Lepisosteus oculatus: one gene and its partners. The protein of the gene in region 4 binds, or shares a complex with, the protein of the main gene of each other region. Links are inferred from orthologs where the notes say so. Each region holds a gene or a part of one and is shown on either strand. Other genes may lie near its edges. The genes, in order: thap3, kansl2, kansl3 and ogt.1.

Evidence for each region.
Region 1: ogt.1 (region 4) and thap3 share a complex: the UniProt entries of both Homo sapiens proteins name them as parts of the THAP1/THAP3-HCFC1-OGT complex. The link is inferred for Lepisosteus oculatus from reciprocal best matches to the Homo sapiens genes OGT and THAP3.
Region 2: ogt.1 (region 4) and kansl2 share a complex: the UniProt entries of both Homo sapiens proteins name them as parts of the NSL complex. The link is inferred for Lepisosteus oculatus from reciprocal best matches to the Homo sapiens genes OGT and KANSL2.
Region 3: ogt.1 (region 4) and kansl3 share a complex: the UniProt entries of both Homo sapiens proteins name them as parts of the NSL complex. The link is inferred for Lepisosteus oculatus from reciprocal best matches to the Homo sapiens genes OGT and KANSL3.

The regions. Positions count from the first base shown.
Region 1 is NC_090720.1:9,154,369-9,161,740, reverse strand, and holds the start of thap3 (THAP domain-containing protein 3), read right to left. Parts: upstream 3,010-7,372; 5' UTR 2,657-3,009; exon of another isoform or gene 2,490-2,656; 5' UTR 2,428-2,489; coding exon 2,303-2,427; intron 1,444-2,302; coding exon 1,248-1,443; intron 1-1,247. UniProt on the Homo sapiens protein: Component of a THAP1/THAP3-HCFC1-OGT complex that is required for the regulation of the transcriptional activity of RRM1.
Region 2 is NC_090696.1:14,506,873-14,514,108, forward strand, and holds the start of kansl2 (KAT8 regulatory NSL complex subunit 2), read right to left. Parts: upstream 3,001-7,236; 5' UTR 2,991-3,000; coding exon 2,951-2,990; intron 1,215-2,950; coding exon 956-1,214; intron 1-955. UniProt on the Homo sapiens protein: Non-catalytic component of the NSL histone acetyltransferase complex, a multiprotein complex that mediates histone H4 acetylation at 'Lys-5'- and 'Lys-8' (H4K5ac and H4K8ac) at transcription start sites and promotes transcription initiation.
Region 3 is NC_090697.1:73,312,086-73,319,665, reverse strand, and holds the start of kansl3 (KAT8 regulatory NSL complex subunit 3), read right to left. Parts: upstream 3,007-7,580; 5' UTR 2,739-3,006; intron 1,372-2,738; 5' UTR 1,311-1,371; coding exon 1,099-1,310; intron 338-1,098; coding exon 167-337; intron 1-166. UniProt on the Homo sapiens protein: Non-catalytic component of the NSL histone acetyltransferase complex, a multiprotein complex that mediates histone H4 acetylation at 'Lys-5'- and 'Lys-8' (H4K5ac and H4K8ac) at transcription start sites and promotes transcription initiation.
Region 4 is NC_090703.1:46,135,383-46,142,313, forward strand, and holds the start of ogt.1 (UDP-N-acetylglucosamine--peptide N-acetylglucosaminyltransferase 110 kDa subunit), read right to left. Parts: upstream 3,009-6,931; 5' UTR 2,643-3,008; coding exon 2,606-2,642; intron 2,029-2,605; exon of another isoform or gene 1,954-2,028; intron 1,781-1,953; exon of another isoform or gene 1,693-1,780; intron 82-1,692; coding exon 1-81. UniProt on the Homo sapiens protein: Catalyzes the transfer of a single N-acetylglucosamine from UDP-GlcNAc to a serine or threonine residue in cytoplasmic and nuclear proteins resulting in their modification with a beta-linked N-acetylglucosamine (O-GlcNAc).

The DNA of each region.
Region 1 (7,372 bases), on a different chromosome or scaffold from region 4:
AAATAATTTCTTTAATAAAGACCAGAAACACTCTTTACATGGTCTTCACACCTTTGTCCAAGCCTGAAGGCAATTCATTATTCTCTCCCTCATCCTGGCTTGTCTGTCACAGCTATGCCTCTAATGCTGGCAGTGGGAAACATCGCCTGGGTTGTTAATTTCCCAAAACCCATTAGACTCACTTTATAGATCTTTTCATCTGAAGCTTTTAATGGGTACATTATAGTTTTAATCTTGATTTTGCTTCTTCTTTTCCAATCTGATTTTTATTCTGGGGTGTACCTATTACGTGCACTATTGTACGACGCTTTTTGAGTTTCCCCCACTCTGACCTGCCATGGGCTGAGTGGGTAACACCAGTGTATAGCGCAGGGGTAGAAACACAGACAAGTGACAAAGCTACAGATCCGCAAAACAAGTGGCAAAACCTTTCATCATGCAAACCAGACGCCTGTCCCAGTCCAGTAGATTTAACTTTCTAGTCCCTACTTTAATTCTAAAGTGCAAAACCTCTTAGCAAGGCCACAGCTCGTGCACAACACATATAAATAAGAGTGATCTGCAACAATTACCAGGAACTGGAGAGATGCAGTTCACAGAACAAATACTGCCATGCTACCAGCTAACCCAGGCTTTTAAAGATCCAGGAAGCATAGAACGAGCAGGAGATTATAGCTGACCTGTCCTTCTGCTACCCTGATAATGCGAATTCTGACAAATTTAATAGAATCCAAACAACATTAGGTATCAAAATTCATAAATCAGGGGAGCATGAATAATACAGATCTGTCACACTAGGTAAACGTTAACGCACTGAAGTACATGATGGAAGAAATGACCCGAGCTGTGTGTGTGTGCGCATGCGTGCGCCAGGCCGGAGTGAGACGCTACGCCCTGCCCGTCTGTGGCCTGGCGCAGACTGTTCAGGATTGGGGGTAACTGTGGGGGGGTCGCCCACCTGGGCGGAGCGGTGGCTCTGTGGCTCAGGATCTGCGCCTGTGACTGGAAGGTTGCCGGTTCGAATCCCGAGGCCGGCAGAGGAATCCTACTCCGTTGGGCCCCTGAGCAAGGCCCTTCACCCCAGCTGCTCCAGGGGCGCCGTATAAATGGCTGACCCTGCGCTCTGACCCCCAGCTTCTCTCCCTGTCTGTGTGTCTCATGGAGAGCAAGCTGGGGTTTGCGAAAAGACGAGTTCCTAATGCAAGAAATTGTATAGGGCTAATAAAGAAACATTATAACATTATAACCTTGGAGCCGGTGGGCGGGAAGGAGAAGAGGGTGGGCACAGCGTTCCACAGGAGGTTCTTGCGGTTGCTGAAGCTACTGAAGCAGTCGGGCGTGAAGTGCTGCGAGCAGATGACCATGTGCCTCTTGGGCTGGAAGTCGTCTCGGGCGATGTTGTCCAGCCACTCCTTCAGCACGTGGGGTTTACTGAAGGGAAACCTGCCAGGGAGGGAGCGCCAGGGTGAGGCATTGGAAATCATCCATCCATCTGTCTTCTAACCCCTTATACAAGGCAGGGTTCACCCTTGACAGGGCGCCAGTCCAACATAGGGCACACACAGGCACCAACACACAGGGTCTCACCAGGGCTATCTTCCCAGAAGCCAACTAACCCTACCAGTGTGTGGGAAAAACTGGAGCACCCCGAGGAAGCCCATGCGAACACCAGAAGGCCATGCAAACTCCACACGGACAGCAGCCGGGGGTCTGAAATTGAACCCAGGGCCCCCAGCACTGTGATGTAGCCTTGCTAACCACTACAGCACTGTGTCGCCCTCTTGTCAATATTAATAACGATGACAATCATAAATAATATGCAGTAAAATAATAACAGCCCAGACGGACACAAGGCCACGCAACCATATGTGAACCTGTTCCATTTTGTGCACTTCTTACACATAATACTTCCCTACACACCACTTCGAAAACTCCTACATCTCTCCTATATACTCAACACAAACCCATACCGTGAGATCACTGAATTAATGTATCTTTCCCAGATAAAGATATGCAATGGGTAAAAACAAAAAAAGTATCTTATTCAACACTGGACGTCCGAACAACTTCACACACAGCGCAGTAAAGAGGTTAGCCCGCGCTGAACAAACCGAGGACTTAATTTAATAATTAACAGACACTCCTGCTGTCCTGGCTCGGAGGAACTGGGAGACAGCGAGGACAGAAGCTGAGGGTGGAAAAAAATCAGCTTGAAGCAGATTCTTGATTGCTCTCGCTATCAGAAGTGTGAGTGCGGCAGTGCTGTGGATTACTGTGAATACAATCAGGAAAACAGCTGTACCTGTGGAAGGTGAGATCCGGGTTCTTGCTGCTGTACCTGTTGGTACAGTTGTAAGCAGAGCAACTCTTCGGCATGTCTTTACGCGCAGTGCTCTCTCTGCCCCAAACAAAGATGGCGGCCAGCATTCCAACTGGGGGCAGCACCCGAGCTGAGCCGTCGCCCCTCAGTCAGAGCGAAAAGCCGGAGGCTGGGAAAAAAAGAGACAGGAAATTACAACAAGTCAACCCTTCGGCGGGGTGTCCTCGGTTATGAGTGTGTTTTTGTTTCTCGCAGAAGTGTAAAACAGAAGTGCGCGGACACTCCAGTTTTCAATCCCATCTCCCAAACTGCGTTTCGGAAGGCGCGTCTGCTTACGCGGTAGGTTTCACCGTCCTCGTCGGTGAGCTGAATTTCTTAAAACATCCACATTTTTTTTTTCTCGGCCTCGTCAGCTCTTCCTCACAGCGGGTAGCGCGTCGTTGAAAGTGTGACTCCGGGAGTGGGGCATTGCTCCGCTCTCACACGAACAGATGACTAGCCTGCCAGGTCGGAAAACATCCCGAAACCAAGATGGCCGACGGGCTTCGGTGTTTTCCGCAAGGTTCCCCGAATAAGATCTCAGCCGGCAGATGGGTCTGGGTCTCACAGCGTAGCCCATAACCTCTCTGTCATTATAAGAGTGGCGGAGTTGGTGGCTGTTGAGTGGGACCACTGAACTTGTGTGTAATTCACTCTCACACTGTTGTATTCATCTGTAGTCACAGCAGGGGCAGTAATAGAAAACCAAGACACAATACAGTACGTTCTCAGCTGAGGTCTGTATATAACCGAAGATTGCACTGCGTTTCTGTTACAAGTGATAATGGGGAACCACACCTACGGTATTTTAATCATGTTCTTGTCTGATTGGGTAGAAAATGTGGTTTTCTGTCATTAAGAGCTCGGTTGAAAACCCAGGAGACCAAAGAGCTCTCCAGGATAAAGGCAAGAGATCTCTGTTCCAGCAATGTTTTGCCTCTATGCTGTGACAAAGCTCTAAGTGACAGTGATCAAAAACCGACTGGGATCTTACAAAAAGAAAGAATGAAAAATGAGGGAACCTTATTGTAAAGCAGTTTCGATTCCTAGACGGTCTTGGTATCTTCGGGTTTATGTTCCAACATAGTTGGTCAAACTGAACAATAAATGTAATTGATTAGCTGTTTCCACAATTAAGGTTTCTCGAGGTGTCTTACTGTCAAACCTTCAAAACATTTACGCCAGTAAAGATAGTACCTTTTAAAACCTGTCAAATCATGGCCGTGATATCGCAGTTCTGCGTTTCGGTGAATGATTAGACCCGCTCTGTAACAGAGTGCCCCAGTGAAACAGAGCCCAGAGGATTCTGCTGAGTCTGAGACCCGCGGGGTAAATGTTACAGAACAGTCCCGAAGAGGCATGACCAGTCAGCCTTGCTGGAAAGCTAAGGTGCCGCTGGTTTCCAGCTCTTGCCTGCCTGCTCCAATACTAGTGTTTATTACATTAGGTATCTGAACTGTACAGCTGAATCTCTTCATTCAAATACATCTCGGCATCAGCTGTTATTGGTGCAGAGTCAAGGTCTGCTTTGAGCACAGTTTCGGTGTTGAGGAAATGCACTGACAAAGGCTGCCAAGTTTCGCGATCGGAAATGCGTTCCCCGTCTTGGTCCTTACTAACCTTGTCAAGTCCTTAATCACAGGACTTCAAATCTCTCTTATTTCAATTTTCTCTTTGAGACCCTTTTAAAATGGATTTCCAGCTCTTGAAAAGCCGAGTGGCATTAGTAGCTGGTATATGGACCTTGTGCTAATCAGTACGTTTCAGGGCTGACCCCAGTCAGGTGTGCTGGCTGAAATATAACCATCTGGACTTAAGCAGTAGGGAAAAAAACTGCATCAGGAAACTCCAACAATGAGTCGGCCTGTGTCGATTTTTCAACTGATCACCTGGCCTGAACTAACGAGTCAGTCTGTTACAGACGCCAGTTAAGAGCCCAGCAGACACAGGGGTACCCCAAGACCACAAATGGGAACCACCACTCCAGCAGGTTGTCTGTGTCTCTTTAAAAAATCAGCAGCTCCAGGCAGCTGGGAAAGGATTAACTGGTCACATTAAATCTTAACGGGATCACTTTAACCCTTCAGCCAGGTGCAAGGTTGTTTTGAAGTTTGAGAAGCCTAGAAACTTGCAGGAACAGATTTGGGAACCACCCGCCTCGAGGTGCTGCCGATTTTGTTGGCACAACACAGAGAGGCACCACCCTTGTCACGGGTATTAATCTGCTACAGGAGCACAGAAGGGCAAGAGACCCCACAGTGTGCGTGGCAGAAGACCCACAGCCCTCTCTCCTTACGTGGTAATGCTGCAGGTGATCAACAATCACATAGCCCAAATCATGGAGGTGCAATGAACAACTGAGAATACCAAATTTATTTGTTTAAAAAAAGTAACATCTTTTTTTATTCCGGATTTCACAACGTTCAAAAGAAAAAGAAGTCCAAAAAGTAATACCAGAGCTTCAGATGCCGATTTAAAATAATCAATAGTTAGATCTTTATTTACAACATATTTTACAATTTACAGAGTTTCATAGAAACAGCCTTCTCCTCTGTGCCACTGTTCAGTTCCCTCGCAAAAGCCGACCGCTTACATTCCTGCGGTCTCTGACACTTTCAAATAACCAGTTCCAAATTAAATTAAATGTTTTTAAAAAAACATAAAGAGGGAACAAACTCGTTTTCCTTTGGTAAATTAGATTTCCTTTTTGTTTTTACAGTAGAATACACATATTTACACAAGCTGGCGTTGACCAGTGTCTACTGCTGCCGTTTTCACACTAGCTATGTGACCCAGGCCCAGGCCTGCTTACTGAAGACTGAAAGCACCGGCCCGGGTTGTAACTGGGTCGGCCCAGCTGGGCCAATGCCTTGATAGAGGCTAAGAGACACAAAACTCTGTTCATATTCAGCAGACGTTTTAGTTTTAGTGCAGGAACGTTCAGACAGAAACTGGATTTAGGTAACAGGGGGGAAAAAAATCGAACTCGTTTTACACAAAATATAATCAACCTTAAAACATGTTTTCTGAAAGACTTGGGGACACACACAAAAGCTCCAATTATGTGTGCACAATTTGAGAGACAACAGGATTTTTTTGTTGTTTCGTTGAGAGAGTAGTTTCCAAAGGGGAGAGTCTCTGGTTATTCTGCAAAATAAAACTTGGTATGCACACTTACAAAACTCTTCAGAACATGGTACTGGATTTATGTTAACACAGAAATCCTGCCCATGGAAAGTCCCTGTGTGGATCTGCTCAGGCAACCCAGGTGAAGTTCTCGTCTGAATGCGGCCTGTTTTGTAGCTCAATCCCAGCTGTTGTTCAGCTGCTAGATCAATGACTGAGAGGGAGGCAGAGTGGAATGAATGCAGGGGGAACTTTGTGCATCGTTTTCGTAATGGATTAACAGAAAGTATGAAATGATTAAAAAAGACAAAAAGGCAAATCTAGTCAAGTTCTCTGGATTGTTATTTTCCATTTTGGGGGAAAAAGAAAGGCTTGATAACAAGGGCTCCAATTTCAAGAATTATTTAAATAATCACTTAAAGAGACCCTTTATAAAAATACCTCAGCCTATCAACTGCACCAATGGTCAGGCTGTGGTGTAAATAAAAATGTTTTAATCCTGCAGCTCTCACTTGTGTCAGGCAAAATGGTACCTCACAGCTGTGTTGTCCAACAGGGACAACACAGAAGACATAGGCCAAAGCAGACCAAATCTGAAAAGAAACCAGGCAAGAAAAGCAAAGGCATGTCACTGTAAGCTCTTAGAAATGTCCAAGTACTGCGTGAACACCCATGTAGCACTTCCATTGTGTGGGCACTGTAAGTTGTAAAACTGGAACTTATAGCGCAAGGAAGGAGACATCACAACCACTAGTGAACAAGGGGGATAATTCGGTTCTTCTTCACGAAGTCCGGGGAACAGAAAGGAGGTCACATGAGCTCTCCCAGGAGTGGCAGGCCTGTTGTCACTGGCGGTTCAGGAAAGCAGAAAAGGTGAGGGGTTTAGACTGTGGGCTCCTCCACCACCCCCTCCCCAGAACAGGACCTCAAGAAGCCCTGGAGGGTTTCTGAGCTCAGCAGAAGAAAATCCCCAGCTCGGGCATGACGGCTCACAGACAGCCCCGTTTCCGGTCGTACAACGTCAAAGGCTAGGCTGCCCGAGTGGAGTGAGCCGACCCTTTAACAGGCTGTGGAGAACTATGGCATTTCCATCTTACTTCCCTTGATATCTTAGAAGACGGGAGAAATTCTTGTTATTTAACCCCCAGTGAAGCATTTAAATGATCATTTTTGATAAGCCTTAATTTTTCACCTACGGAGCTCCATTTCCTAAACTCAGTACCTTGTGAGCAAAGCATTGGTCCATATAGCATTAACCTTAGTGCTGGGATATGAAGCATGTGTCTGCCAGATCCCAGAGCTTTCTGCGGATTAGCACCGCTCCGATCAGTGCGATGATAAACGCGAACTTGCTTTCTCATATAAGCCAGACATGCCTCAAAAATCTGAAATTTAGAACAAAAAGTGTCATAAGGGTTTGAGTGGGTGCACAGGGGCTGCAAACACTTGAACTCCACTGCCTGCAGGCATGATCTAGGGGTAATGAAGGGCAATGAGACATGAAATAATGTTTCTGTGCAACATGCTCAGAAGTGCAAAGTCTGCAACCCCACCCCCCCAACCCCCACCCCTCTCTCTCTCCAATAACAGTAAGGTCACCCCTTTCCACACAACCTGCTACTGTCAGAGAGAGCCCCCAAGAACAGAGCACGGATCTGCTTCTCGTATTGCTTATTAATAAAAAAAAACACCTGGGGGTGTATTACAGGGATGCTCTTTTATCTTCTGTCCCTTCCAATGTCAACATAAGCCTCCTCTGCCCTAAAAAAAAAAACCATTTTGTCTGAAAAACAATAAATATTGTTTTTCATATTGTGTCCAGAAAATAACGCCACTCTTGACCACTGATGTAGAATGGGCAGGAACAGCGCAGTCCACTGAAGATGG
Region 2 (7,236 bases), on a different chromosome or scaffold from region 4:
ACTAACTTATATTACATTATGGTGTAGTTAGTAAACCAGTCTAGTTTGCAGATGATACCAAATAGGAGGACTAGCAAAGCCTGCAGAAGCTACAAAGGAAACTGCTAAAGATTCAGAAATCAAGAGCGAACACTTTGACATCAGCTGATGGAGACAAGTGAAGAATACTACAAAGGCAGCAAAATAAACTATAAATAAAAATTGGAAACCCTGAATTTGAAGAGTCTACTTGTGAAAATGGCTTGGGTGTGTCTGTTGATGCATCAATCTTCTACACAATGTGAGGAAGAAGCAAAAAGGAAAACACATTAAAAAACAGTTTTAAGCACAATTAATAGCATCCCTTTATACATTAAAGTTGTACAAATCATTTGCAAGTCCTCATTTAGAACACTGCAGGGTCAGATACATTCCAGGGCTTAAGGAAATGTCCTACACCGACAGGGATGAAGCCATTCTGTGTCTTGGCTCACCTGTTATAAAATTATTTATTAGTAAATGTGTGGATTCTATCTTCACAGCCATGTAGCATCAGGTTTTATTTTGCATACATTATGTGTTATTTATAATTATTTTTTTCTTGAAACTGCTCATATGTTTGTATCTGTTATTTCAAGTACGTTGACACCACAAATAATTCCTAGCAGCCCAGAGGATTGGTTTGTGAAAAAAGATGATTTTGATGAGCTACAGAATCCAAACCTTTAAGTCTCGAAGAGAGACGACTATGAGGGGACCTGATAGCAGGACAACCTCAAAGAAAGAGGCATCACCAAACTCTCGTTCTTCTGCACCCTCTGCGAGTCGAAGCGACACATGCGTATCCGACGATGAGGGACGCATCACACTTGCCCTTAGCTTGAGGGTGAGGGTGTGAATTGCCAAGCGCACCCCCCCGAACCCAGGAAAGGGCAGCAGGGCGTGGCTCCTATCCAGGAGACGGAGGGGGACTCACCCGTCCTTCTTTTCAGGTTTGGGGGCTGCGCTGGGGCACCGCCTGCCGTTCTTGCTGGAGACGTAGCTGCACTGCCTGTAGGGGGCGCTCTTGTCCTCCAGCACGTGCTTGAGGCAGTACTCCAGGCCCTCCAGGCGCGGCTGGGAGCACGGCCGGGGGGAGAAGGAGCAGGAATGGGACTCCTGCGCCCGGGCCTGGGGGGTCACACGCCCCCGGCTGGACGGCAGCACGTGGATGCGGATTCGGTTCATGCCCAGGCCTGGGGGAGAGAACACAGGGATAAATACAGCTGGAGCTCACAGCCCCTGCTCAGCACCTCCCAATAACCCCATCTATGAACTGGCTTCATTACTCTGCTCTCCTCCCCACTGAGAGCTGGTGTGTGGGGAGAGTACTGGTGCCCTCTGGCTGCTGTCACATCATCCAGGAGGGGCTGCACATTGGTGGTGGGAGTGGGATTCCCCATTACCTGCAAAGCGCTTTGAGTGCAGTGTCCAGAAAAAAAAATAAGCGTAAGGAATTACAAACTCATGGCTACCAGCAAGCTCTGAGCACAGTGGTCAGTGTCCTACAGTCACAAAACTAATTACTCAACACTCCCAGCCAGTGCCTGAACACAGTAATCAGCATCACACAGTTACAGAGCTGCAATTATGAACCGGCTTCATCTGTCTTTTCTCCTCCAAACTGATAACTGGTGTGTGGCGAGTGTACTGGCGCACTCTGGCTGACGTTGCATCATCCAGGTGGGTGAGGGGAGTCTCCACGACCTGTAACGATCTTTGACTGGAGTGTCTAGGAAAGCACTGTATAAGTGTGAAGAGTTATTACCATATAGCCACTCCAATCTGCTTTTTGGCAAATATCTGTGCAAACCATGTCCTCCTGGATGAGTGCTAGAGCAGGACTGAGTCACACAGGGGGGCAGGGGGGGGATGACTTGCAAACTTCAACACTCAGCCTTCCAGAGCTTCTCTACACCAATTTTAAATTCTTCAAAACTTTTTTTCCCCCCATTTTCAACAGGGTCCTATCCAAGACCGTCTTCTTCAGTACTGATACTGCTGCAGACAAGTCGCTTCACGTGTACATGACCTCCTATGGCAACCCCCCCGCCCTCGTGCTTCGTTAAGAACATGTTCAATATCAGAGTGTGGGGGGGCAGCTGGTCAGGGCCACTGAACACACCAGGTGCCTTTCAAGACAAGGCGATCTCTCGACTGCAACTGATACCGGCCGAGAAAGAGAGAGAATAAGTCTCTAAAAGATGGATACGAGTATTTAATGAATGGCTGCCAAAGAACACGTGCATTTCTCCCTAACTGATAAAAAAATACAATGTTTTCCTAGCTACCTTTAAAACACGTCGACAACACTACAGCATCTGATTGCGTATGCCGAAATCGTCATCTATGCACCAGAAGTTAAAAGCTGTTGTATCGTGGGCGCAAGTCGTGCCCCATCCCTTCGACTGACCAGGCGTGCTCGCCCGTTTCAGAGAAGCGCGCACGGAGGAAGCCAGGCGCGACAATTTAAGAAACCTACTGAGTGGAGGGGGGATCTTTGCACCCGCTGAGAGACTTCTGTGATATCTTACGCCTTGATCTTTGTTTGCGATCTTTTCAAAATGCACCGACATGTTATAAAAACATTTACAGCGCCTAGACACGTTTCAGCCGCAGCTCTTCTTAATAACGCATGGGTCTAAAGGCACAAAGCAAAGCCACTTGTACCATACAACTAGCTCGAAGCAAAGCAAACTCTGATTTCACTAAGGAGCCTGCACACCCGCCTGAAAGGCGCCTCTTGTTTTGAACGCGAACATTATTTCCCCTTGTCTCGTTCCAATCCGCGAGTCAGCCATCTTAACACATCTACGAAACATCTCCCCTCCCAACCCCCGCTACACTTCTCTTTCTTTTCTGTTAGTAAAGATAATCCCACCCGCTTCATAATCAACACAGTCACCCAGAACAACAACAAAAAAAAAATTACTAGTATGGCTCATCGTCGCAACACCACGTTTACCAGACATCTTACCTCGACCTCGCCCGCCACTCGAAGAGCTTTAACCGCTCCGGTCGGCTCCCTCTGTCGGTCGGCCGGCTGCCACCCCCCCCACCGAGCCAGGATTGGCCAGACACAAGTACCTTGGAAACACGTCATTGGTTTGTCAACATGCCAATCGACATACAGCTCGGCCGGGGATTGGTCAAAATTAACGCTTATCAATTTGGGTCAGCCTACCGAAGAGCTCGGATTCTGGCGAAGGCAGTGCTTGTACAGACTGCAGCGTTGTAATGATTTAAGAATACATCCTCTGATGCACCTGGACACATCATCAGTATTCCTACCAGGGGTCTTTCAACATCAGACACCCTCGCCCAGGCGACCCAGCCAAGGTTGTTCAAGCCCTGGCTTGCGTCCAGGTGGCTTTGTTACCCACGGGTCACTCCTCTAATTATTATTATGATGAATCATTTTTTGCACTTATAATAATAATAATAATAATAATTGCTTACACTTATATAGCGCTTTTCTGGACACTCCACTCAAAGAGCTTTGCAGGTAATGGGGACTCCCCTCCACCACCAGCAGTGTGCAGCCCCCACCTGGATGATGTGACAGCAGTCAGAGTGAACCAGTATTTTCTCCACACACCAGCTATCAGTGGGGAGGAGAGCAGAGTGATGACCCCAGATCAGAGATGGGGATTATTATTAAAGAACAGAACCCGATTCTAAAGTAGAATGTTTGGAGTCTGGATTTGAAAGAGTTTAGGGAAGGTGACTCTCTGATATCCTTGGGGATGGAATTCCAGAGCTCTGGGGTGCAGCAGGAGACGGCCCTGTCACCCCTAGATTGTAGACTGGTTTGGGGGACAGATAGAAGGCAAGAATGACAAGAGCGAAGGTTGTGAGGTGGGGAGTAGGACGACAGTAGCTCAGACAGGTATTGAGGTGCCAAACCATGCAGAGCTTTAAAGGTGAGCATAGGGATTCTGAATTCGACACGAAACCTGACAGGAAGCCAGTGCAAAGACTCCAGGATAGGAGTAATGTGATCACTTGCAGTAAACCTGGTCAGGATTTACTGGAGTTTGTTCAATGTGGATTTAGAAACCCCAGCGAGTAGAGCATTACAGTAGTCGATCAGGGAGAAGACAAATGTGTTGATCAGCTTTAAGACATAGTCTAGCGATATTTCTGAGGTGAAAGAAAGATGTTTTGACAATATGCTGCACATGTGGGTCGAATGTCAAACCTGAATCAAATATCACCCCAAAGTTTTTCAATTTAGACTGAATCTCAAGTACTGTATGACCCACAGATAGGGTTACAGCATTGGCTTTACAAAGTTGATGGGGGGTGCCAATGAGCATGACTTCAGTCTTTGTCACAGATTAAAAAAAGAAAATTTTGAACCATCCATGTTTTTAGGTCAGAGATGCAATTAGAGAGAACAGAAACAGCCACATCAGTGTGAGGTTTGGTATGGACGTAGATCTGAGTATCGTCAGCATAGAAATGATAGTTGAGGCAATGATCTTAAAAACTGACCAAGCAGAAATATGTAAATGCTGAAAAGTAAGGGGCCCAGTATTGAGCCCTGAGGAACACCAGACTAAACGAGTCCAATTTCAGACCTAAATCTGCCAAGAGAGACAAAGTGACAGCGATCAGTGAGGTAAGACTTGAAGCATTTAAGAGCAGTGTCAGAAACTCCAAACACAGGTCAAGACGAGAAAGTAAGATGTCATGGTCAACAGTGTTGAAAGCAGCAGTGAGGTCAAGAAGAATAAGGATAGAAAGAGAGCCAGAATCAGAAGCCATTAGAAGATCGTTAGTGACTTTGACCAGGGCAGCTTCTGTGTGTGAAGTTGTCGGAAGCCAGATAGGAGGGGTCTGAAAAGGTTATTAACAATGAGGTGGTTATGTAATTGAAAATGTGACAGCACAGTCTAGAATTTGTGCAAGAAAGGGAAAATTGGAGATGGGGCGAAAATTGTTTAGATTTAGATTTTGTGGCACAGGGGTGATAGCAGCAGTTTTGAGAACCACTGGTACAACACCAGTGCCCAAGGATTCATGTATTATATTGAGGACAACGGGGCAGAGAGAAGTGAAAACAGCACTGAAATGAAGTGGTGGGGACGGGATCTACAGTAATGTATGGGTGGTGGGTTTCATCTGTTTCGAAGGCCTTTTTTCAACTATTTCCAACCGCCTCTCTGGCGGTTTGGATGGCTTTCCTCTTGCTCACCCCTGTTACGTCCAAAAGACACAGAGGGACTGGCCTGCAAGTCCTCTGCAGCCCCCCCCCGACGGGCTCACCCCCTCCCACAGCGCAGACCTACCAGGTCTTCATGTCTGACTCCCTCCTTCCGCCAGCCTCCAGCGGGGACCTGTCCGCTCTGGCACGGCCGGCTGCCGAGATGCTTCACACAGCAATACAACGTCCAGCCCGAGTGCGGTCAGGGGCCCACCTGTCTTGCCGTTGCCAAGGAGACCCGCCGATACTTTGCACAGCGGACGCGGCTGCTGACCGGCTCTGACGGATTCGGTGGCCTGGTGATGTTTGCTGTCGTTGATATCCCCGCTAATAGCGTCCGCCAAGGGCTTCAGCCCCCGGTCGCGCTGCCACCGATAGCAGCCTTCTCCAAGGGCTTTCGGGCAACAGTCGAGGGCGTGCTCCAGTGGCCCTCACCCCTGGCACAAAGGGCATGCCGGCAAGCCGCCTCTGCCCCAACAGGAGAGACACCAGGAAGCAGTAAAGGTTTATTCCGTGCTGAAAAGTGACACCCAGAGAAGGCTCCACAGCTGAAACGTTGTGTTTCTTTTCGTCTCTTTTCTCCTCTTCTAACTAGCAAGACCTTATGTTAAATATGCAACTTTATGGGAAAGCAGAGGCTGATGTGTAGGAGTGATATGCTGCCAAGACTTGGTGCGAGTTAGAAGTCTAGTTGTCAAGTTTTGGCCATAATGCTAGTTGTTTAGAAGAGAGTGAGGAAAACCACAGAGTAAGGAGTGGCGGGGATCAAGCCTCTGTGTTTTAAATGAATCATGCAGTCAGCGTCGGACGTTTGTAAAAGAATCGTGAAAGAATGCATTATTTGCAGACTTGAAATTGTAAAAGAAAATAGGGGCCAGTAGGGGGCGCTCACCCTGCGGTCTGTGTGGATTCCAGTGCCCCAGTTTAGTGACGGGACGCTGTGCTGTAAAAAAGCCCTCTCCTTCAGCTGACGCATGAAACAGCGCTTCTGACTTCTTTAAAACGCCTAATTGTTTCTCGAAAAGAATAGAGGTAGGTATTCAAACCAAACTCCCCACTAATCTTGACAATCAACATATAGGAACAGGCTAGTTTTTGTTCTTTATATCGCCAATACACATGATTATTGGACTAATGATAATACTGTGGCTTTAAACTTGCGTAAAATAAGAAATAGCATTTTATACTAACTCACGCTCTGGAAGACATCATGCCTGGTCCCGGTACCAAAGAAAGGGCGCCCCTCTGTCCTCAACGACTACAGACCAGTTGCACTGACTTCTCACATCATGAAGACACTGGAGAGGCTGGTTTTATCCCACTGGAGACCCCTGGTCAGCTCATCACTGGACACCCTACAGTTTGCCTACCAGCCCAATGTTGGTGTGGAGGAAGCGATCATCTACATGCTGCAAAGGGCCTACTCACACCTGGACAGGGCTGGCAACACTGTAAGAATCATGTTTTTCGACTTCTCCAGTGCCTTCAATACCATCCAGCCCTTACTTCTAAGGAGGAAGCTGGAGGAGATGCAAGCCTCCTCGACCTCGTGGATCACTGACTACCTGACAGGCAGACCACAGTCTGTGAGACTTCAGAACTGTGTGTCTGAACAGGTAGTGAGTAACACAGGGGCACCTCAAGGGACAGTTCTTTCTCCATTCCTCTTCACCCTCTATACTTTGGACTTTAAGTGCAACTCAAAGTCATGCCACCTGCAGAAGTTCTCAGATGACTCTGCAATTGTGGGATGTATCAAGGGTGAGCAGGAGGAGGAGTACAGAGGACTGGTCAGCAGCTTTGTGGAGTGGTGTGGGGTGAACTACTTGGAACTGAATGTAACAAAGACAAAGGAACTGGTGGTTGATTTCAGGAGGAAAAAGGTCAAACCTACTCTTGTCTACATCCATGGGAGTGGCGTGGAGATGGTGGACTCGTACAAGGACCTGGGAGTGCACATCGACGATAGACTGGAATGGTCTAAGAACATCGAGGCCATCTATAAGAAG
Region 3 (7,580 bases), on a different chromosome or scaffold from region 4:
AGGGAGAACTTCCCAGCTCTTTCTTGTCGATCCCAGTACGACTTTGATTTACATTCGGCAGGTGTCGGAAACTGCGATTAGTTTAGGCCTGCACGTGAAGCAGAGCCCGGGTGCTCACTGTCCTCCACCCTTCAGCTTGCTGCACGAGGAGCTTGAAGGCTCTTACTTGTTGAGGTGCTCCTCCCAGTCGTCCGGTGGCGGAGGGGCATCAGCGTCGGTCCTGGCGAAGAGCACGTGGCGCTCGCACTCGTTCATCACACTCCGCGCCTTCTGGTTGTCATACAGGGGCATCGGCGTGGGCGTCACCGTCTCCACATCGATGGGCATGTCCGTCTCTCTGCAACCACATTCATAACGCACGTCCTGCGCTGCTCATGCTTCCTCTAATAACGCTCCCCCAACCCCTGGCGTGACTTGATGGCAATGTGGCACAAAACTCAAAGACACGCTTTGTAACACCTTGCAACCAATTGTTCCAAATTAGCTGAGCTCACCACTTTTCGTCAACTGTAGCAGCAGAAGGAGTGTAATTAAAAGTTTTTCTAGGAAATTCTGCTGATGTAAAGTTATCACTCACATCAGCTTGGTGCTGCAACTTAAACTGAAAAAACTCACATAAGCAAGTACGTATGCAGGAACACTGGCGCTGTGACATGCTAACAAGTTATTTTAATTGGGAAAATAATGTAATTTTAGAACAGTAGGGCAATGCAAATCCACCCCCGTTCTAGCAAATCACAACCAAAGAAATCACAGGAGTGTGAAAAGAGTACAGACGCACTCAAAATCAAGATCTGAATAACTTCAACTTGTGAGCATGCTGGATTGTTTCAATGCAACTAATAAAGCCTGAATCTTGCCAGTCTGCACACAACATGGGGTACATATTTCATGTCCTGTAATTGCCACACTGTGAAACACAATTAACATACAAACCAATTGCACAGGAGACAGGGCAGTCTAAAAGCTGGTCTTAAAGCTGGTCTTACAACAGTGATTATACATGTCATTTAAATGAAGGCTGTCTACTTTGTATACCGCCAGGAGAAGCTGTAATACTGCAGGGGGGGTTTCCACTGCGGTGCAGCGTCTACTCACACGGTGGTGTCCTGCTGGCGCCGAGGCGTGACAAAAAGCATGCGGGTAGGGCGGGCACTGCTGGCGTCCGGGTGGGCACTCCAGGGCTTAGCGTAGCTGTGGTCGAGGAAGACCAGGTCCAGCTCCCGCTCGTGGACAGACAGCTGGAAGAGCAAGGAGGTGCCCATCCGCCGCGCGGAGGTCTGGAAGTCCCGCTCCCCGCCGCGGTACATTGTTCTCGGGCAGCTGGCGCACGCTCTCAGCGGGAGGGGGCACTCCGGACACAAGGCTGGGCTAGGGACACGGGGCACAACACGGTCACACGCTGCCCTCGCCGGCCTCAGCTGCCCACCTGCAACCTCTACCTTGCGCAGACCTGACCTGCTCTCCAAAGAGCTACATCTCCCCGCAACTCACCACTGGTGGCAGGCCACTGAAGCTCAGCAGGTGGGAGCCTGGTCAGTACCTGGATGGGAGACTCCTGGGAAAGCTGAGGCTGCTGCTGGAAGAGGTGTTAGTGGGGCCAGCAGGGGGCGCTCACCCTGCGGTCTGTGTGGGTCCTAATGCCCCAGAATAGTGAGGGGGCCACTATTCTGTTAAAAAGGGCACCGTCCTCCGGATGAGACATAAATCTGAGGTCCCGACTCTGCAAGGATAGTAAAAAATCCCAGGGCGTTTCTTGAAGAGAGTAGGGGTGTTAACCGTGGTGTCCTGGCCAAATTTCCCCCTGGCCCTTAACAATGACGCCCTCTTAATAACGAGTGGACCAAAATAATTGATTTGAAATCTCGATGGTGAGTCCACGGTTGACCTGTTGGGACACTTCTGAGAGTTTAATCTTTACTGACCATGAATATTGCGCCAGCAACAGTTATGGTAAGAGCAAATGGGCATAATGAATCTCTGACGAAAGGAATTGATTTGATGGGAATATCCATCCCCAGATTTGCCTGGATTTATTTTACTGCACCATTAAAATGCTAACGCACGATGATGTTTTCAATCACGATTTATTTACTATTGTAAGTCAAAAATTGTAAGTCAAATTGCTGGGTCCTTGATGTCGGTACAATAGAAAAGCACATGTTCTGAAAGTGAAAATTAAATTGTGATTGGAATCTCCAATTTAAACTCGGTCATTAAGTAGACTTTTTTGGGGGTAGGGGCATTTGTAAAAGGTCGGGCAGTGCTGCATTAAATGACAAAGACTGTATATTTAATACAGTGAGGGTTAAACTTTCCTTCACACTACTGGATACAAAGGCAACAATACAATATACAACTTACATTTACAGTTTATATTTTAACACCTGAACGTTCCCTAAACTACGAAGAAGGACACTGTCAAGGCTAGTAAATCAGCCACCGGGCGTGTTGCTGTTTTTGTTGTTGTTACTGTAACAGGCAAGAAAATAGACTCGACAGGCAAATAAAAAAAGACCCCGGCTCCGAGACGTTGTTCAAGCCGAGGCAGGGTACGCTCAGGTCCTGTGCTCTTTTTAAGAAAACCCGAGGACTGCCGGCCTAGGTACTGAAAAGATTCATTTCTATAAAAGAACTGTCCAGATATCACAAAGCATGGTTATTGACGTCCTTGTGAGGGCAAAGCTGGTGAAAACAATGCGTAGGAGAGTTTATCGTTATACTATAAAAACACTTACTTTCTGGCGGCATCCCAGAAGATGAGCTCACGTCATTGTGTCAAGAAACCGTAAAAGAAGTGTAATCCCAAAACGTGACCCCAGCGTCCAGAACAGATGTGTAAACTCGTTTGTACACTGTTTAAATGCGTTTTTGAAATGTGTTTATTCGCATTCCGTTGCTTTTAATGACTGCTTTCTGTTTTTGTTAAGGGCCTTTCTTCTCCTCGTATTTCAACCGCGCCACTACACTGGAGGGCCTGCTTGAAAATACGGCACAGATTTTCTCAGGCGATCCGGAGTCAGGATGCGACCCTGCTGCCGGGAGACTTGGAATATACGAAATGGATTCCCGTGTTTTTACAAGACCCGCCTACCCTCCGTTCCTCTTGCAGGGAACGATAGCAAAGAAATGAAACTTACATTTTAATAAACACTAAGGTAGCAAGTTATTCCAAAGCTTTCGATGTAAACTTTAGAAGAAAAGTCACATTTTACAAAATACCAAGGTAAAACATGATTCTAGACATATATTCACAAACAACGCGACTTGCACGACATAGTATGTTAAATTATATTGTCATCATGGTATCTGTCTTATGTGCTGAAAACTGTATGTACTGGAATTGTGGACAGTCATATACCAGATTACTCTCTTGTGAAAAGCAATATTATTATAATGAGAAAATTAAGACAATTACCTTTATCGCATTCGAGAAAATGTAACATTTATACATTTATTTTTAATTTCTTCTAAACCTTTTACCTTTAAGGCAAGTTGTGTTGGTATACTTAGTGTATTTCTAAGCGTTCTATATTTTTCCACAGCACTTTAACAGCAAAAACTATCTTTCCACAACGGGATTCTGCTGGACGTTTGAGAATTGTCCGATCTGCGCATCACCGTCCAGCATGGCACAGGCATTTCTACTGCCTGACCACTAGAGGGCCCCACTAGGCTGGATTTATAGCCGATTTATATCCCTGCCTTAATATAAGTGGAAGTGAAAATAAAGGGATAAATCAATACCGGCGGTAGTGCAGAAATCGAACGTGAGTGTCATGCAAAACAAAAAAATAAGTAGAATAGACGTCGTTCGCCATTTTTTACTTTATGCACTGAGCATTACGGATAACCAGAAAATGCCTTCAATTCCTCAATAACTCAGTGGACAACTAAGCTGCTTACCAGCTTTAAACAAATCACATTCCCAAAATGCTGTTAAAACTCTTTCAGTCCTGCGGTTGTTTCTCTCTGGCGCCCATTTTTCCCTTAAGCGGTTTGTACAGCCCAGGACCTGCTCCCTGCTCCCTGAAGGCAGGCTTCCTCTATTGGTTTATATTGTGGCCGAACCCAGCCTGCATCTCCGGACCTGCCAGGTGAGGGAGGAAGACTGCTCTCCCCACAGGGGCACTTGGGAGATGTAGCTGAGACAAGATCCCTCTTCCCTCCTCCTGCCACCCTGCCCGACGTCCTGCTCCTCACCGGGGAAGCCGACGGAAGAGCAGGTTTTGCCAGTCCGAAGCCGTGACAGATGCAGAGACGTGGGGGCAGCAGGCAGTGCGAACTGGGTGCACCCCCCCCTGGCGTTCTCCTTCTGGCGGCTGTGTGAAATGTGGCATCATCTACCGCTCTCAAACTACCTCCCCCTCCTGAGCCAGCAGGTGTCTACACGAGTGCCCCCTTTCTTTTGGCACAGCGGCTGCCTCACACTCTTGAGGCTCCGGCCAGGGCAGCAGTGACCTCTCATGATCCTGTCCTGTAGCTCAGACATGGGCCGTAGAGACACAGACGTCTTGCCCTCATCCACCTGCTCTTCAAGCTTGGGCCTGCGAGGTGGTGATGACCACTCTCCATTCTCCTGTAGGCTCAACTATGGGATCTTTCTCCAGCACAGTGCTTGCTTAAATCTAGTTGAGGAGGCGATAGCCAGTGTTCCTCCTCATGCTCCGACCATACCGTGGCCAGAGGAGCTCCTTCCTCTGCGGGCACTCAGTGCACACTGGATCACAGCATGGTACTGTAGGGTTTGAAAATGAAGGACAGTAGGCATCAAACTGTTAGCAAGTGTTTGTGAGAAAGTATTTGTAGTACCTGTAATATTCCCTGTATCTCTGTGTACAAACTGAGCAAGGCAATAGTGTTGGCTTTTTATGTACACATTGAGGAAAAATAATCAAATTCCCATTTAAAATCAGATTAAATGAAATACATCTTATAGCTATATGCAAATATTAAATTCCACTGGTTTTCTGTAAGCATGAATTTGTATGCTTTACAGTGAGGGCTGAGGTGTTTTTTAATAACTATCAGGAGGTAGAAGGAGCTGGACAAGTTTTGGAGCAACCCAGTGAATCAGCTGCTTCAACATGGCTTGGGAACATGCTGCATCCACCCACAACTCACACTGCATGAAGTACCTCCCCTTGACTCCTCAAAACTGCCTCCTCCTTTGGCACTTTCTCAAGTTTTTTTTTAACATTTTTAAATTAGGATCACTAATTATTTTGATGATTTGTAACCCAGTCTGAAAGCGCTAGTTTATGCTCTTTAAATGTAAGCTGGGAGTGATTCTGTAAAGCACTGCATTAATGGAATAAATATCAATTCGTGAATTCAGCCAATGAATGTGAAACATTTTTCATTAACAACTACAGAGCACAAAGGAAGGAGCTGAAATCATCAGAGGTTTATCAGGTGAGAAACAAGTTTAAAGACGGGGTATGATATACTGTAGATGCAAGCAAGAACTAGGAAATTGTCATTTAAAATGAATGAAAAATTTAATCGTAAGTAATGTTAAATGTATGCCAAATAAAAAGACAGTTTAACAAAGTTTGTTTTAGCTCAGTACATGGTATCATTTATCAACAGAATTGAGACAACAATAGACAGAAACCAATTAGTGGAAAATACATCCCATGATGAAGAACCAAAAGTACACAAGTGAGAACCAAAACATTCATAGCACCCATTACAAGGCATACATTTCAATTTCATTACAGTATTGTTTTAGAAATTAATTTTCATACAATAATAAAGACGAAACAACTGACAATCCTGGTTTTCAAGTTATTGAAAGCATTCATCACCATGCTAAATTACTAGAAATAAAAAAAATATATAAAGCAAGATACAAATTTGCCAAGGGTACTCTGGGAAAGAGAGCTCGTCTAGAGAGTGTTACCATGGTTGGTTACAGGAATGATAAAGTGCAGGAGATTGAGAAAGAGATGAGCACATACAAGGTATTTTAAACTTCACTGAACAGTAAGTTGTTGCTAAAGATGCAACAACACAGACAAATTGTATTCTGGTGGGAATACACAACCTGAATTAAGATTTAAGCACAACATTGCCAGCACAATACCTCATAGAAGGTCTATAATAGTGTACAGACTTCATCTGACAAAGCCCCCCAAAGCATCAGCTATCAAAGCCCAAGCTAATGACATAGAACACTTTCTGTTCCATTGATGTTGTCTTGACTTGCAGGTATTATCATAAGCATGGCTCTTTGTAAAAGTTCTCAATTTGTTTACTGATAAAATAAAAACAAAAAATCATTGTGATCTTTTTTTTATACTGTTGCCCACCTATACACTATAAAATAAAGAGCAGAATTAGAACGCAATGCAGTTTGACATTTTAACATCTTCCACTTGACAAACCAAGGAAGTGTGAAATTGCAATATGCTGCGTGACTTTGGTAAAACACAGGTGCTTAGGCAGCATCAAAGTAAATGACAACACTGCAGTGGAGTTAAATCGGAGCCAAATGTTTCTAAACAGGGGAGAGAAAGCTTACAAAACTCGATGAGAAAATGCACCTGGGTTATTTGACTCAGTCCTGTAACACAAATAGATGAAAAAATTCTTTGAAACAATAAAAAGGCTTTAATCCTTGAAAAATATTTTCTATATTTCAGTTTGTTCTGAATCAGTGGCATCCAGTTTAAAAATAACTGAATCATAAACATGAAACATTTAGTTGAGCAAATATGACAAGCAAGGCAGAAATATCTCATACCAAGGAGGAATCTGAATACTGAGGACACATTTTTCCTCAAATGAATACGTATCACCCTGCATGGCTTTTTTCTGTCACTTGACAAGAGGCCTCCTACCAAATCATTAGTAGAAATAAGTTAAAAATACATATATATCTGTATATATCACAAAAACAAAACCCTCATTAACATTCTTCCATCTCGTAATATCGACACAGAATATTAAAAACCTCAATATTAAGGTATCCACACCAGTTTTCACCTGGCCTGCTTGGTATGTCTCAAAGGTCTGAAGAGAGATCTCTTGCATTTCAGTACTGCACAAGTCTGCTCACATACTGCAGTCCCGTAGGTTTTATAGGCATTTTTAAATGTTGGGCCACTGCAGACCTGAAAACTTGGTGATTTGTCAAAGTGGCCATCCATATTGCTCCGAAGTGCTATTTGACATATGGTCTCTGGCCTATAGCTGCACAACAGCATACACACATATACAAAGTGCAATCAAGAAATTACAAGCACTCACCCTAAATATAAAACTAAATTTTATATAATGATTAAAAATACATTTCCCTTCCAGTTCCTGCCATGGAAATCTAGTTCAGGTGACATTTTGGCTTTGCCTAATATTTTCAAAACATGGGTATTTTATCATTTTATTATTAGTGTCATATTTTCAAACCAGTTTTACTACTCAGGACAATGGACCAAAACTTCAAACAGCCATGCATCTGCAGAACGTGTACTATAAAATGTATAAAATTAGAAAGACGGTAAATGTTAAAGCCAGTTCTATTGTTTGCTTTAACTAAAAAGCTTTCTTCGCTTTACCTTTACTAATCATACCTCTTG
Region 4 (6,931 bases):
CCGCCTCAAAGTCACCGGACTGGTACTCCCGGTGCGCCAGCTCTGCCAACCCTTGGAAGGAAAGCATACGTTTTGTCGGTTCTGGAGCAGAGTCACCAACACAACCCGGGGGGGGGAGGAGGGGAAAACAACACGTTAGAACAAATGGAGAAAAAAAAAATCAAACATGAAAACAAAGAATCTAAATAAAAAAGCAAAAGGTTAAATGTAGAACATTCAGTAAAACAGGGTGTTAAAACTTAAAATGAGGATGAAATGTTCTGAAACATAGAACAGCAGTGATCTGGACAACTTTAATGTTATCCAATGTCTTACCTGCACAGCTATATCATGCTCAAACACATTTTGCCCAGTTGGAACAATCCATGAAACTACCCAACTTTTTTTTTTTTTTTTTACATCAAGGCCGTTTTATGGCACAATTTTATGTTGTTGCCTTTAGAAAGTACTAATGGAGCTGAAACTCAAATTTGGTTTCCATTAAACCTCATTCTTCTTCACAAATTGTACACAGCACTTCAATCAGAAGTAAATTTTAATATGAGAAGCAAAACACAGTCCCCAGAAAATGTTTAACGGTTGCCAATTTCACAGGTTTTGTCAAATTACCTGAAATGCTGTTAGCACTATACCACCTTGTCATCTTACACCCTGGATCAACTTTAATACATTACATCAGAGATTTGCACATATTAACAAAATAAGGTTGAGGATAAAATGACCCAAAAATGAGAATGGAAATATATTATGTATACCGATAATGAAATGATGACAATACAGTGAACAAATGATATTGACAACAGAGGGTAAGCACACAGAAGAAGCCCTTTGCTACTGTGGTATATGGAGTTTACACAGATGGTGAGTGATTCCTTGTTTGCTCTATTCAGTACAAGCCAGATGGACTGCAGTCCACACCTTTGCAGAACCTAAACAGCTCAGGAATACATGGTTATACTCAGTCATACAGAGTGCATACTTTGTAATTAACTACAACAGCTGCTGCACTGAACTCAACACGGGTAATTAAGTAATTAATTCATTATCTGGGACAATAGATGCACACCAACAGGTACCAGAGGGATATGAACATGAACAGGTCATTTAAGTAAATTCTGAAAACTGAATGAGAAACCACCTAACTTGTGCGGTCTACATGAATATAAAAGAATTCTTCATCTTTCCAACATAGTAGTGTGATTTAATGTACTCGTTAGCTATTAAATATTACTTCAGTAGCTGTACAAAAGACGTACACCTCCACTAATGTTACACAGTACAGGACCCCCAGAATCACACTGCTGCTGGTTTCCAACTCAGCGCATAACTTAAACGAATCCTTAAACCTCACAATTTAAATCTGCTCAAAGGTAGGAGATCGTGGGTTACCTGCACAAGAAGGCAACTTCCACCATGATTATGAAGTAAAAACAATTCAAGAGTTCAAATTAATCATATTATGCTGCAGAGCTCAGTGCATAGCGCCTATTCTGAGCGTGATGTGACCTAAACCTGTAAAAAACGAAATCTGGCTGTTTTGTTCCACCTCTTAATTACCTAAATCAACTATTTAGACCCAATTAAGTGCTGGAGATTTAAAGAGATCTAGAGAAAATGAGCCACACCAGCACTTCAGGGACGATCCGATCTGGACGAATTAACGTGCGTATAATACCCGAGACAAAGGACGATTGGGAGGGACGTCTCGCTACTTTAAGCGCCTTTCAGTAAAAAGAAAACAAGACGCTCGAAACACACGCTTCTGCGCTATGCAAGCTCGGTGAGTTACTAGACGGTCCCTGGTTTGTCTAAACCCGCCAAAACGTTATGTTAAGCGAACTCGTGGGTGAAAAGGGCCGGCTCAACTGGGCTGCCGGACGCGAGGTGCACGGTGCCCACAAGCAGATTAACGACAAACTGGCCCTGGCGTGTCTCCACGCTTCTTCGTATCGTGTGGTTCTGCAACAGCGCAGAGGCCGCAGTCCAGCGAGCTGTCCGGCAGAGATGACGTCAGCGCTCCGTTTGCAGGTACTCGCACACACAAGCGAGGTTTAGCCAGCTAGTTAAACAAGCAGGCCTCTCCGGGTTTGTTTTTTTTACAGATTGTTCTGGCCATACTGTTTAGTAAGGTTAAAAGCCGCTGTACTGCAATGCCTTTTAGAAATACAAATACCACAGTTTCAAGTGGACTTTATCATAACTGCATTCATTTTCCCCCCCTAAACTCTGCTTCGACCTATGTCAGAGGGCTGTGCGAGTCGGAATCATTTTCACTGTTTTGTGCATCTCGCAATGAAGAAATGTCCAATTACACAATGCAGCCCCTGTTCTGGTTTCATGAACATCCATTCTCGTATCAATACCCCCCCGGTTTCGGGAGTGGTATATTACTAGTTTGTAAATTTAATCCCCATACAAGTCGAATTTAAAAGGGATTCGAACACAAAGCAACCGCTTCATGTCCAAAAAATTATTCCATCTCGTCTTTTACCTACTCTCCAGTCGTATGAGGCTAGTTTAGGAGAAGACCAAACTAAACTTTGCTGTTCATTCAATCTCAAGTTAATATTTAATTGAGCAAGCAAACGACAGAAGCCGTATTTACCTGTGCTGTCAGCCACGTTTCCAACTGAAGTCGCCATCTTCACAAGTCTTTTGAAATCGGAACAAAAATCGCTGTTAAAAATGCTTTGGATTTTAGTTTCTTCTCAAAAAAAAAAAAATTTAAAATTGACGACCCGTGCCGCGAATTCGCCGTGCGTATCGATCAGTAATGCCGGTGAGCTCGTCAACTACAAACCTAAAATAACACACGTTGACTCAGTCAAATGTTTGATATCTCTTCCCGATTTAAAAAAAATAAATATCGAGCGTTCGATTTTTTTAAATCTGACTGATCGCAATTTTTAAAAGGTGCTCTTTTATATTTGTAAACTTCTTTGCATAGACCAACAACCGCGTCGACAACAAAGCGGCTGTTCTAAATCCCGAAATGGCGGCTGCGACCGGGACTACTTCAACTGGTACAAATAGACCCCCTACGGAGGACCCACAGAAAAACGAAACAGCGGGACAACGGGAGGCAGCGTCGAGCCTTAAATGTCTAACGCTACGTAATAACAGATGTTTGTGGGAGGGGAACGAGAAGTTTCTCTCGGTTTGAAGCGGATGGAAAAATTCCCCCTTCGCGGATGTGTCAATACCAGAGACCGCTGTGTCTAGGAACTAGGCAGGGCTGTGTACCGATGCGCGGCAGCAATGCGGCAATGGGTGGGCCAGCCGGCACGTGGGGAGCCACAAAGCCGTATCTCGTACTGAACAGGATATGCTAATTGGGTTTTATGGAACTGTTCTTAGTCTAAATAAATATACATACTGGGCGGAGATCGCAAATGATGTCTTCTTCCAGAAAATCACGCAAAAAATTTTCAAGTATTTTTTTTGGCACCAATGTCAATTCATAATAAAAAGGCCCAGGGAAACGCTTTCGAGATGTCGAAAAATATGCCAGTGTATGTCTATTTTTTTCGACTGAATCCTGTATTTAGTTCTGTACATAAACTTCACAAATACAGCGAGGACCAACCAAAGGGTCTTTTAGCGTTCGTAGCAAATAATTCCTCACAGCCGAAACGTTGTTTTCTTTCTTCTCTTTTCAGCATGGAGTAAACCTTTACCTGTTCCTTTGCAGAACTGGTGACATACTGGGATATGGGAATTCCAACAGAATCGTGTCCTAATGTACACCCAGCAACAACTATCTCGTTTGTGTCTTGTTAGGACAAGTAGTGTTCGAGTTCATCTTCGGACGATTTCATTTTTAACACGTTCACAGCCCGCCGCACCGGGACAGAGCCGCAGTAGACGCTGTTGTGGTGTTCCAGACAAGCCCGTCTAGTGAAATCTACCGTTTAAATGTTAAGGCTTTGATTCTCAATGCATTATTGATCAAATAAGTGTCTTTATTTAATGAGGATGGTCTTCTCTTGCTCCGGGGCTTAAAATCACAAAACCAGCTTCCAGGTTCCTCTTTCAATCTGCACTTGCGTCTCTGAGCCGCAAAGCGTGCCTATGGCGCGCCCCCTGGCGGGTGAGACTGTCTACACACCCTACTCGTGATGTGTTGGATACCTTTTATTTTTATTGCCGACTTCATTTCAAAGCTTAACAGCAGTTACAATTTGGGAAAAGGCGATGTGCCGGAAAATGTAAGTATCTACGCCAACACAGAAGTTCTACCTCCCAACATCCTAATGGTTAATGATCTACACACGGTCAGGTCATGTCTGCCCAATCCTGTTCCCGGAGGACCAGTGTCCAGTTCTGTTTCATTAAAACTCTGCTTTTAACAACGTAAAACAGCTCGTCAACTGGACACATTTAGCTTCTCAAGTGTTGCCGTTCTAAAGACACTCAGAAAACTGATATATAGCTGATGTGTGGGGAGCGTTCTGGCGCACTATGGCTGCCGTCGCATCATCCAGGTGGATGCTGCACATTGGTGGTGGTGGAGGGGAGTCCCCATTACCTGTAAAGCGCTTTGAGTGGAGTGTCCAGAAAAGCGCTATATAAGTGTAAGCTATTATTATTATTAAAACCTGAGACCACGACGGTCTTCCAGGTTAGGTCATCGGATGTGGGAATTGTAATCTGAACAGTATCCGTCTGCAGCTCTAATCGGTAGTGTCGCGTGTTCGCCACACGAGGTCACTAGTCGAATTGGTGAAAAACCTTCACATTATGACAGTTTAATCTTTTTTTTTTTTGTTGTTGTTGCTCCATTTCATATCAAAATGTTTACAACCAAGAGAGGGCTTCTCAGGCTGTCTTGCCTGTTCTGTTTGGATTCATGCATTTCATTACTCTCGACCCTCCTTTTTTTTTTTATAGGAGTCCTCAGGATCACTCTTCTTTGAGTAAAGATGTCTCCTCATAAACACGGGGCCGAGAAGTCTGAGAGTTAGGGCATCCCCCTCCCCCCCACACCGTCTCGGTGTTTATTTTTCCCAGAAAAGAGTTGGGGTCCCTAGCTCCAGCAGGAGAGAGAACACACTCCCTCTCCCACCTCCCCGTTCTCCTTCATTAGCCTCTCTTTCTGTGTCTTCTTCCTCTGTCCCTGCTCCCTCACCTCTCTCGTCATCCTCCTCCGGTGCAGCTCCTGTTCCCCTGCTGTTCTGCGTTCGGACTGAACCCCCCCCCCCCCCCCCCCGGTCTCAGCGTGATGAGCTTGCCCCCGCATTCCTTCCTCTCCCGCTGGGAGACGGGCCGTTGCCCCCGGCGACCGTGAATGGCGGCCCAGGCGAGAGGAGAGTCGCCACGGTCACCATTAACCCCCAGCCACCCGGATGCCCCCCCGGTCAGCTGAGCACAGTGTATTTTAATTTGGGGAGAGGTTAGGCCTGCTGTGGTACCCTGAAATGCCCTGTCCTCTCTCCATGCCCTCTGTCCCCCCCCTCATCCTCCCTAAATATTCCCAGTCCCTCTACCCCACAGACCTTGTCCTTGCTGGCCCAATTCGGAATAGAGTGGAACCAAGAGACAGCATCAGCAATCCCATTGCATGGCTGTTGGAGCCGTTCCGGGTTTTACTAGCGACCACAGCAGGTAAGCGCGAGCTCAGCAGGTAAGGGGGGGCCGGGGATCTCGGCGTGCCGTCAGGCTTGGTCTCTGCGATGACGTCGCCCGTCTCCCGGCTGCTGAAGCCCCTGCTGGCCTTTCCCCGTGAGCAACCGCAGGGCAGGCCTGCGAGGGGGAGGGCAGCCCCCGGCTTTGTGTTGTGTCTGCGGGTTGTTCCCAGCTCCCGCACGCAGGGGCTGGGGCGCGGGAGGCGAGAAGAGCCCCACGGATTGGGAGAAGGAGAGGAGGGCCAGCCTGGCCTTCGGCCTCTGTGAATGTCTGTCAACACCGCCGCTTTCAGAGGGCGCTGGCTCCCCGGAGAGCCCCTCTGCACTTCAGCAGCCTGGCCCGGTCCGGACCGGACAGACCGGAGCCGCAGGGTCTTTCTGCCACAGGTTTACACGTTCCAGTTAAGCCACAATGACTCCTCTTCAAAAGTTCGAGCTCATTGTCGTTATCCTCCTCCACGGGTATATGGTAGGACGAAACGCTATTTAGCGGGCTCTCGGACGGTGAGTGGTGCAAACCACAAGACAAAGGTGCAAGAAAAGAGACCGAGGCAACGGGCAACGTTGACGTCCGATTTTGCACAACTGTTGCCGACAGAATGAAATAAAGGATACACAATTCTGGGGAGTAAACGTCTTGACACGTGAGGTAGAGGTAGATTTCGTTGTGCGTTTGAGTTTTGATCTAGAGAGAAGGCCCTGTAAGGGTTCAGATGTTAGGCGAGAGGCTGGGAGTTTGACAGTGTGGGGGTAAAAACTGTCTCCGAGTCTGGTGGTCGGGGCCTGCATGCTCCGGTACAATTTTCCAGGTAGGCAACAGCAGGACTGACTATATATAGATCCGGAGATACTTGTTTTTACTTGCAGGTATAGTTTTACTTCCCAGGGTTTTGTCAAATTTAACACCATTTTTCAGAGTTTTGAGGGGTGGTTCCTGAGCTCAGGGTCACCTATGGTGGTCTCTCTCTCTCTCTCTCCACCCCCCTGGGGCTTTTTTGGGGCACAGTGGACTGAACGAGCCCCCCTCTTTTCCCCGCAGTACAATGCCACAGGCTCTGGGCTCAGCTGGGCAGTAGTCCAGGCGAGAGTCTACTGGTGTTGTTTTGTGGGACATGCCCTGGTTTCTCTCTCTCTCTCTCTCTCTGGGGGTCAGAGGTCACCTGGCCAGTTTATCCACAAGGAATATTCCTACCCTTCTGTTAATACAATCCACTGTATCTTACTACAGCCTGTTTTTCATGGTCCCGTACAGTGCATCTGCGTGCGCTGTACGTCTGTGTTGTAGATGGACCACAAATCTGTTTAAT